Linked DNA regions of Schizosaccharomyces pombe. The protein of the gene in region 1 interacts with the protein of each later gene in a biochemical or structural test. Each region holds a gene or a part of one and is shown in the gene's direction. Other genes may lie near its edges. The genes, in order: hri1 and tif211.

Evidence for each region.
Region 2: of the proteins of hri1 (region 1) and tif211, one has a biochemical effect on the other in vitro, tested with the Schizosaccharomyces pombe proteins (2 studies listed by BioGRID).

What each region holds. Positions count from the first base shown.
Region 1 is NC_003424.3:4,817,478-4,822,621, reverse strand, and holds hri1 (eIF2 alpha kinase Hri1), read left to right. Parts: upstream 1-1,970; 5' UTR 1,971-2,248; coding exon 2,249-4,363; 3' UTR 4,364-4,610; downstream 4,611-5,144. Other genes in the region: checkpoint clamp complex protein Hus1, read left to right, coding at 44-86, 135-243, 309-321, 376-970, 1,028-1,131. UniProt on the Schizosaccharomyces pombe protein: Mediates down-regulation of protein synthesis in response to stress conditions by the phosphorylation of the alpha subunit of eIF-2 (tif211) on 'Ser-52'. Protein synthesis is inhibited at the level of initiation. Activity is inhibited in the presence of heme.
Region 2 is NC_003424.3:3,164,720-3,168,441, forward strand, and holds tif211 (translation initiation factor eIF2 alpha subunit), read left to right. Parts: upstream 1-1,708; 5' UTR 1,709-1,736; coding exon 1,737-1,806; exon of another isoform or gene 1,807-1,868; coding exon 1,869-2,039; exon of another isoform or gene 2,040-2,145; coding exon 2,146-2,825; 3' UTR 2,826-2,980; downstream 2,981-3,722. Other genes in the region: png1 (chromatin modification-related protein), read right to left, coding at 3,472-3,722. UniProt on the Schizosaccharomyces pombe protein: eIF-2 functions in the early steps of protein synthesis by forming a ternary complex with GTP and initiator tRNA. This complex binds to a 40S ribosomal subunit, followed by mRNA binding to form a 43S pre-initiation complex.

The sequences.
Region 1 (5,144 bases):
TGCCAAAAAATCTCAATCTCATTAGTTAAATCAAAGACTGAAAATGAGATTTAAAACAAGGATTAGCAACTTGTACACGTTGACGCGTAAGTTGGAAAAGATCAGCAGAAAGTTCGTTTACTAATCAAATTTAGGTCTTGTTCAGGCGCTAGATAAAATTGGAAGATTTTGCTGGCTTCGTCTGATGCCTGAAACTGTAAATTTTGTGATAGTGCCAGATTTTAGGATGACTCAAGTTTGGTCGTAAGTGAAGATATTAAGCATTTAACGGTGAAAAAAATCACATTGTGAAACTAATAAAGAAACAGAGTTTTAGAAGTCGTATGATTAACTATCTTTTTCTATTTGATTGCCCTAACTAACGTAAACGGAAAGGAAACAATATTTGAGGACTATGTCGTCCAAAGCAATGCAGACAACGTGATAAATCTAGAAGTTCCTATAGATAATTTCTATAAAGCCTTACGATCAGCGGCCAACGCTAGTGATTCTACTGTTCGTCTATCCAAGAAGAATAACCAGCCATTACTTTCGTTGTCTACCACTTGGAGTGGAAGGGCGTTTGGTTCGAATATTGTGACTCATAATATACCTGTTCGAGTACTATCACAATCATACGTGTCAGTTATTAAGGAACCAACTGCTCCTGAACCAGACTGTCATATATTCCTTCCACAACTGAATTTTCTAAGACACGTCGTGGACAAATACAAGAGTCTTTCAGACCGTATTATAATGTCAGCCAACATGTCAGGCGAATTGCAGTTATCGGTAAACATACCTTCAGCTAGAGTAAGCACAAAATGGAAAGGATTAGAGAATCCAGAGTTAGATCCTAGTCAAGTCGAAGACATCAGTCGACATCCCTCTCAAACAAGGGCACCCGAAGAATTTGTTCACATGAGACTAGACAGCAAGGACTTAGTCAACATGTTAAAAATATCCAGTGTTGCAAAGCGTGTAATAGCGTGTATGTACTATGAGAGAATCCTTTTTATGACCACGAACTAACCTTTTTACATTACAGGTTTCTGTGAAGGACATGCGCTAGTACTTTATGTTTATATAACAGATCCAGAAGATGAACATACGGCTGTTTTAACATACTACATTAGTACCTATGTGGACTAAGGTTACTTCAATTTGTTTATGATTTGATTTAATTAACGAATAATTGTTATGAGTGACTAGCCACATTTTTAATGTACATTAAAATGAAAAGAGATTAATCAACATCTACCATGCTTATACTTATTTTCTCTCTCTTCCTTTATCGATCTTACCGTTCTTTTTTATTTATTTTATACAGTTGTTGTAATCTCGGCAACTCAGTGTTTTACTATTCCGTTGATATCTCTTAAAAGGATAACACCAAAAAGAAATATAATGTTCAAGTCACAGAAAATCTGTTGATAAAATCCATATGTTTTCACGTTTTCAATGAGAGATACATACGATTAAACACAAACGTATGTTTTCAAGCAATTAACTTGAATATGAATAAACCTTGGTTCATCTTTCTTTAATCTTTTAGACAAGCAACTGTTCAGAAATCTATAAAGTCTCAATTGAACATTTAAGTGCTCAATGGGAAATATATACTTAATAAAAATTGAATATTTTAATCGTTTTTTTGAGAAGATATATGCCATTGACTGTAGCTTCTATTAATTTCCGCCTATTCTTTCTTGTACTTTGGAGGCATCGCTATACATTTTACGTAGAAGTGATGAAAATGGCGAGTTCCTCTTTAAAAGTGCGAAAATTTCAGGCTGTCTGTCATCGGAATTGACTATGTTCGATAGTTATTCCTCCTCCGATGCAGTCGGCTACACATGTAAACTGTACCAACATTCAGTACGAAAGGGGCTGAACGTTGTTACCTAGAAAAGTTGGTATCGCAATAGAGGTAACGATAGTGAAAATCCCACAATAACTTAAATATGGAGAGGTATCCGGGGAAATCCGCTACATAAACAACACATATACAGACATATAAATTGACTTAAACGTACCTTCTTTCTATAATAGTTTTACCGTTCCTTAATTGCAAATTCTTTCTTGTTTTCATAGATAGCATTGTTACTATTATTGTTATATATTCAATATAGACTGATAATTAGGATTGTACATTTCGTTTCATTTAGAGAAAAAAAAAAGGAATAATTTTCATGTTTTAAATTACTCATCTTATTCAATTCTTCTTTCTCTTTTCTTATTTGCTTTGATTTGATTCATTCACACAAGAATGCTCGGCACTTCTACTAAATGTTCGAAAAGGGATTGCAACTATGCCAAGGAAAATATCAGTCGGATTATGCCGACAATTGGTCTCGGTTACAAACAGAATTTCGAAAAAAAAACCGCGGATACTCAAAGTTCCTGCAAGTTGCTTCTCGTTGCGTTGTTAGAAAGCTTTTGTAAGCATTCTGATCAAACTCCAGAGCAATCGAAGCAAATGTTTTTATATGTTGCTCATTCGCTTCAAAATTCAGGTATCATAGATTTTGAGTTCTCCGAGGAGCTTGAACCAATTCGTAATGCTTATGCCGATTCTCTTCATAACCTCTTATCTAAAGCTTTTCGGAGTACCTTACCCATGAGCTCTACTAAGGATTCTAAGAAATCGAGGTATTCCAGCCCTGATGGCGTTTTGGCGAAAACTGCTTCCTTCTTGAGCGTATTGAGTGATGGTGGATACGAAGACGATGTGATGAATGTCAAGCCTTCAGTAAACGTATTGTCTAATAGGTTAAATCATTTACCAGTTGAAGCATTGGAATCTTGCTTTCCACAAACCACTTTGGAGTCCTCCACGTTTGCTGATTTTTGTGAGCACAAAGATGGAACCGGTAACTTGTCTTTTAGCAACTTTGATAGCTTTCCCACAGTCCAAAGGTCAAGATATGCAAGTGATTTTGAAGAACTTGAGTTACTTGGTAAAGGCGGTTATGGTTCAGTGTATAAAGCTCGAAATAAATTCGATGGAGTTGAATATGCTTTAAAAAAAATTCCACTTCGGTTACGTTCTTTCTCCACTTCTTCTAACATATTCCGTGAATCTAGGACCTTGGCAAGATTAAACCATCCCAATGTGATAAGATTCTTTTCTAGTTGGGTCGAGCTCTTACCGTCATCTGAAAAGCAAATCGAAGAAGAACCTTTAGCTTCGGCAGATGAGACATTATCTCAATCAGCAGATATAGATAATTTTATGTTTGATATGGATACTGGGTTACTTCAGCATACTTATCCTTCATCAGTTCAGATACTATTCCAAGAGGACTCGGTTGCAGATGATTTAACTCCTTGTTACTCTACCAAAAATTCGACTTGCAACTTGACTGATCTTTTCAAGAAAGAGGCCGATCAGGATTATGCCGAGTCACATGATTGTTCTTCAACAACATCACAAGTCGACACATTAGGAAAGTTGGCGCCAACGAAGTCAGCTTCTGAAATGTTACTTATGGATTCATTTCTATCCGAAAGAGAGGAAGATGAATGTTCCAATATTCCCAGCTTTGATCAACAGCCCTTATGTTTGTACATACAAATGGCTCTTTGCGAAGAAACACTCGAGAAACACATAAACAGACGAAATAAGCATATTCACGGTGTAATGTCTAAAGGCCTACGTAACTGTTATATTTTACTGTTTGCAAGGATTTTAGAGGGCGTTTTGTATCTTCACGATGCTATGCATTTAGTCCATCGTGATTTGAAACCTCGAAATATTTTTCTATCTAGTGGTGTACATTCTGAGCCTTGCTCTGTGTGTCTACCTAATTTTTCTGATGAAGATAATGTTGAGGTTAGCAATGCGTACGAACCAGTGAACCAAAGAACTTTATGTGTTGTGCCCAAGATAGGCGATTTCGGTCTTGTTCTTTCTCAGTCAGATAATTTGGAAGAGGGGACCAACTCCTCAGCTGAATCTTCTTTTGTCGGTACAAGTACGTATGCAGCTCCTGAACTTTTCTCAAAACACATGCGATCGGTAATGAATAACAACTCGTCTACTGACATATATGCATTGGGCATACTCTTTTTTGAATTACTGTATCCTTTTAACACGCGCATGGAAAGGGCATCAGCTATCGCCAATTTAAAAAAGGGCATTTTCCCCCATGATTTCTTGGATTCCATGCCAGAGGAAGCTAGCTTAATCCGGTCAATGCTCAGCTCTTCGAATAAGCGCCCAACTGCTGCTCAACTTTTGACTAGCAATCTATTTCATGATTTGGTAGTCAATGAGCTTCATGTATATCAAGCTTTATTGGAAGATGCTGAGAAACGAAATAACAATTTGAAAGCAGAACTAAACATACTTCGAGTTTTAAACCCCAATTACGACTGTTAGTATTAGTTACGAACTACTTTGGACTGCTTCAATTGTTTTTACAATTCGCTTTTGACAAGATTTAGTTGTTTATGTTATTTTATGTTTATATTTCCTACGTTTTATGTTTATCCACTGTTATGATTTGTTTATAGTGAGTTATCTTCCATGCTCTTGGAATGGTTTTTGGAGCTTTTAGGTGCGAAAGAGTAGTCTGCATTAAAGATTTTTCTTATTTTAATATATTAAATTGAAAGTTCATCTTGTACATTTTTTCGTTGCTAGTTTTCAGTTCAACAGTCTGATTGATTTTTTTAAGTTTTCTTGATCTTGATCTTGTACTCAAAATGTTTATCCTTTTTAATCAAACTGTCTTTCATTTATGGAAAACAAATATCAATCAAGCTATAAATTAAACAGCAGAAGCGATTGTTTAATTTTAGCGTGATAGTAAACTAGCACTTCATTAGGCGCCTTATTCTAAAGACACAGTATGTACGCCACCCTCTCAATGTCTTTTAAAAAACATTTATTAATAAATATAAACTAGAATGGACACTAAACTTATTTCCAGCATTATTCAGTTAATTCTGATATGGACTACTTTCAAGTTGTCGCTTTCCAATTACGTTTGTGTTTGAGCTTGAACTTATCGGAAAACTAAATAGTTTTCGAACACAGTTAGTATTTCTTTGTTCTTTAACGGGTACAATAAAATGGATCGTTGCATATGTAATTGTTGCTTTGAATCATATTACGTCGGTTAAACCGAACAAAGAAAGTTATGTTCTAAATACTCAGT
Region 2 (3,722 bases), 1.7 Mb from region 1:
TATTTCTATAATGGTGCAAACTAACAGTAGCTCTTGTAGCTCAGTGGTAGAGCGCCTGTCTCGTAAACAGGAGGTCCAGTGTTCGAGTCACTGCCGGAGCAGTTTTTATATTTTTCGATCACAGATCGGCCTTTCTAATAAGCATTGAAAGCTACAAAATGAGTATACTAAGATACTTATTAATGCATATTCTTGTAAATAGGGTTTCTCACAATTCATCGAATATACATACTCAAATTCTGCCGTTACTAGTTGATTGCTGATTTCAAGGACATCTTGATTAATAAAATGGAAGAATCGCTGTAGGATCAACAGTTAATATTACCTTCGTTTTAAAAATGAGGAATCTCGTGCCGTTCAACCAAAGTAAAAATGAAACTTCGTCAAACTGCATGACTAAGTTTCCCCTTTCTGTTTTTGATGCTTTCATAGCACTGTCAAGAATACCGTTGCGCAAATATCTGGCAATTATATACATACCAGTTCATCGCGGCCTGATTTAAGTTTTGTACGTTTTATTGTTTTCAATTGTTTTTACTAGACAGCATACTGAAATATGCCTTCAACAGTTTTTAATTTTATCAGTTTGATTGAATACATCAGTTTCCCTAAATGCTTTCTATCTTTGCCTTCAAAAACTTATTGCTTATACATGTTATAAATATACTATTTAAACGTCTACGGCCATACCTAGGCGAAAACACCAGTTCCCGTCCGATCACTGCAGTTAAGCGTCTGAGGGCCTCGTTAGTACTATGGTTGGAGACAACATGGGAATCCGGGGTGCTGTAGGCTCATCTTTTTTTGTTGATGATTTGCTTCTTTTTATATTAACATATTTGGAAAATACTTGTAATTAATTTAAAGCGGCTTTTCTCATTCTAGGTACTAGATGAGTACTTTCGTTACAGCGCAATTCTTGTATTGACCAGGTACGAATCGGAATGGAGGACATCCCACAACAGACAAAAAATGAAATACAATTCACAAATTAGTACCACATCTTGTTCATTTTCATGAACAAGTGTTAAAGAACTTTTATATTTATATAAAAGACATATTCAACTGGTTGTCTTTACTAAGTTTAGATGCATTCTTGATTCAATGTATCTACGAGAAGCGCATTGAAAAAAAAAAGTTTGTTTGTAATAGTTTATATTCAAAGACTGTTGAAAACACATTTCCTCAACTATTCTTGAGTTTGGCATTGATAACCTTTTGAATTTCATTAATACGAGTTCTCACTTTTTTTTGTAATCCAAAAAACGGTGATGGATGGTTTGTAAGGCAATGGATTAACAACTTTTCAATAAAATAATTCTTTACTCTAGTCAAAGGAACAAGTGGAATCAATTAGACAGAGTCTTCTATTCGTAAACTTTCCAATTGTAATTTTCGTTTGAGGGAAAAGAAAGTTTAAGTATATTATCTGTAATTCTAAACGATGTAGTAAACTAGTAGTTTATTAAACACTTTAGTTTATTAAATACTTTACTGCTAGTTTATTCAGCGTTCGGCTGGTAAGCCAGTTATCACCGATCGTTATGTGCTTTTAGATACTAATAAATCTTCTTTAAGGAAACTTTTTAAATATAAAGAATAATTATTGATAAACAGTTAAGTTAAAATGACCAATGTCTGGGTTCTGAAAAGAAGCAAAATTGGCCCCTAGAGTTTAGAAGTGGGTAGTCCACACAAATTTTTACTCAGAACCAAACACTCAACACTTTGCAAAAATGTCGACGACAAGCTGCAGAATGTACGAGAATCGCTTCCCGGAAGTGGATGAACTCGTTGTTGTCAACGGTATGTAAAAAATGCACATGTTGTCTGTCTAAAGAAACGGTAATGGCTAATATTTCCAATAGTTCGTCAAATCCAGGAGATGGGCGCTTATGTAAAATTGTTGGAATACGATAATATTGAAGGAATGGTTTTGCTCTCTGAGCTTTCCAGACGTCGTATTCGTTCAGTACAAAAGCATATTCGCGTTGGTCGTAATGAAGTCGTCGTGGTCTTACGTGTCGACAAGGAAAAAGGTAAGAATTTATTAGTAGTTTTTTTTTTTTTTTTTTTTAAAAAAAAGAAAAACAAAAGGGGAAAAAAGGTTTATAAGTTGTTAGGAATGTACTAACCAGGATTAAGGATACATCGATCTTTCAAAGCGCCGTGTTAGCCCTGAGGATGTTGTAAAGTGCGAAGAACGCTTCAACAAATCTAAGGCTGTTCATTCCATTATGCGCCATATTGCTGAGAAGCATAATGTTCCTTTGGAGACCATGTATACCACAATTGGATGGCCATTATACCGCAAATATGGACATGCTTATGACGCCTTTAAGCTTGCTATTAGTAACCCAGATCATGTCTTTGAGGGTTTAGAACCTCCCAAATCGGGTGTTATTAATGATTTGTTGGCTCAAATCTCTCGTCGTCTGACGCCTCAGCCCATTAAAATTCGTGCTGACGTTGAAGTCACTTGCTTTGGCTACGAAGGTATTAACGCTATCAAGGCCGCTTTGAAGGCTGCTGAAGATGTTCATACCGAGGAGGTTCCTATCAAAGTTAAACTTGTTGCTCCTCCACTTTACGTCCTTTTGACAAACGCATTAGATAAGTCATTGGGTCTCAAAAAGCTAGAAGAGGCAATTGGTGCAATCGAAAAATCCATTACAGCATCCAATGGTACCTGTACTGTTAAAATGAAACCCAAGGCGGTTAGTGAAACTGACGAATTGGAGCTTGCCGATTTGATGAAAAAATTTGAAAAGGAAAATGCTGAAATCTCTGGTGATGAAGAGGATGACCAAAGCGGTTCTGAGTAAATGGATTAGACACTAGCTAATATACGCTTTTTCATTGTGAATTTTTGGCACTTTAGTGTTCCATTATAATCTGGGGTTCTTTTTATTTTGTACTATACACTTTATCAAATTTATCTAGTGATATCTATGGTTAAAAAATTTCCTCTTCTTTTTTCCGAATGCGTAAGAGTTCTTTTATATGTTACGAGATAATATGAAAACGCTAGACGCTGCATCTTGTTCCTTTGTATGTACAATAATAAGTTCAGTTCCAATATAGTAGAAATAATGGACAACAAATGCAATTACAAATAATAAAGTTACAAAAGACTTATTACTGTGGTTAGCTACGGCGTGTAATATCTGCTTTGGGGAGGATTGGGGAAATTAAAGAACTGAATTTCTTAATGTACAAGTAATCTGGTACTTATTATGTGAGTGAAAAACAAACAAGGACAAGAATAAGATAAAAAGGATTCGTAATCGTGAAGATATGATTAATAAATTAACCATTTTGCAAATCACATATACACAGCTTGAACAACGTATAATCAAATATAGTAAGTTCGGAACAGGTGAAAAATTAGCGGATATTAAAGCCCAAAAAAAAACAACAATGCTTGCATTCAATAATGGGAAGACCAACAGACTTTAGATTGGGGAAAAATTACTTAGCATCAACAAGCTTCTGATCCCTACAAGCTTCGCAATACCATGTACCTTCAGGAGGAGCTTTAAGACCAACACACTCCATATGGAACCATTCACGCTCACAATTAGCATTGTCACAAGCGACCATTTGCCCATATGATCCTTGCTGGCAAAAACAATACTTTTCATTATCCTCTTCCATATCTTCTTCTGAGACCATTTCATTCGGCGTTGTGGAATCTGCCTTAGTTTCTAACTGGGTGGTTG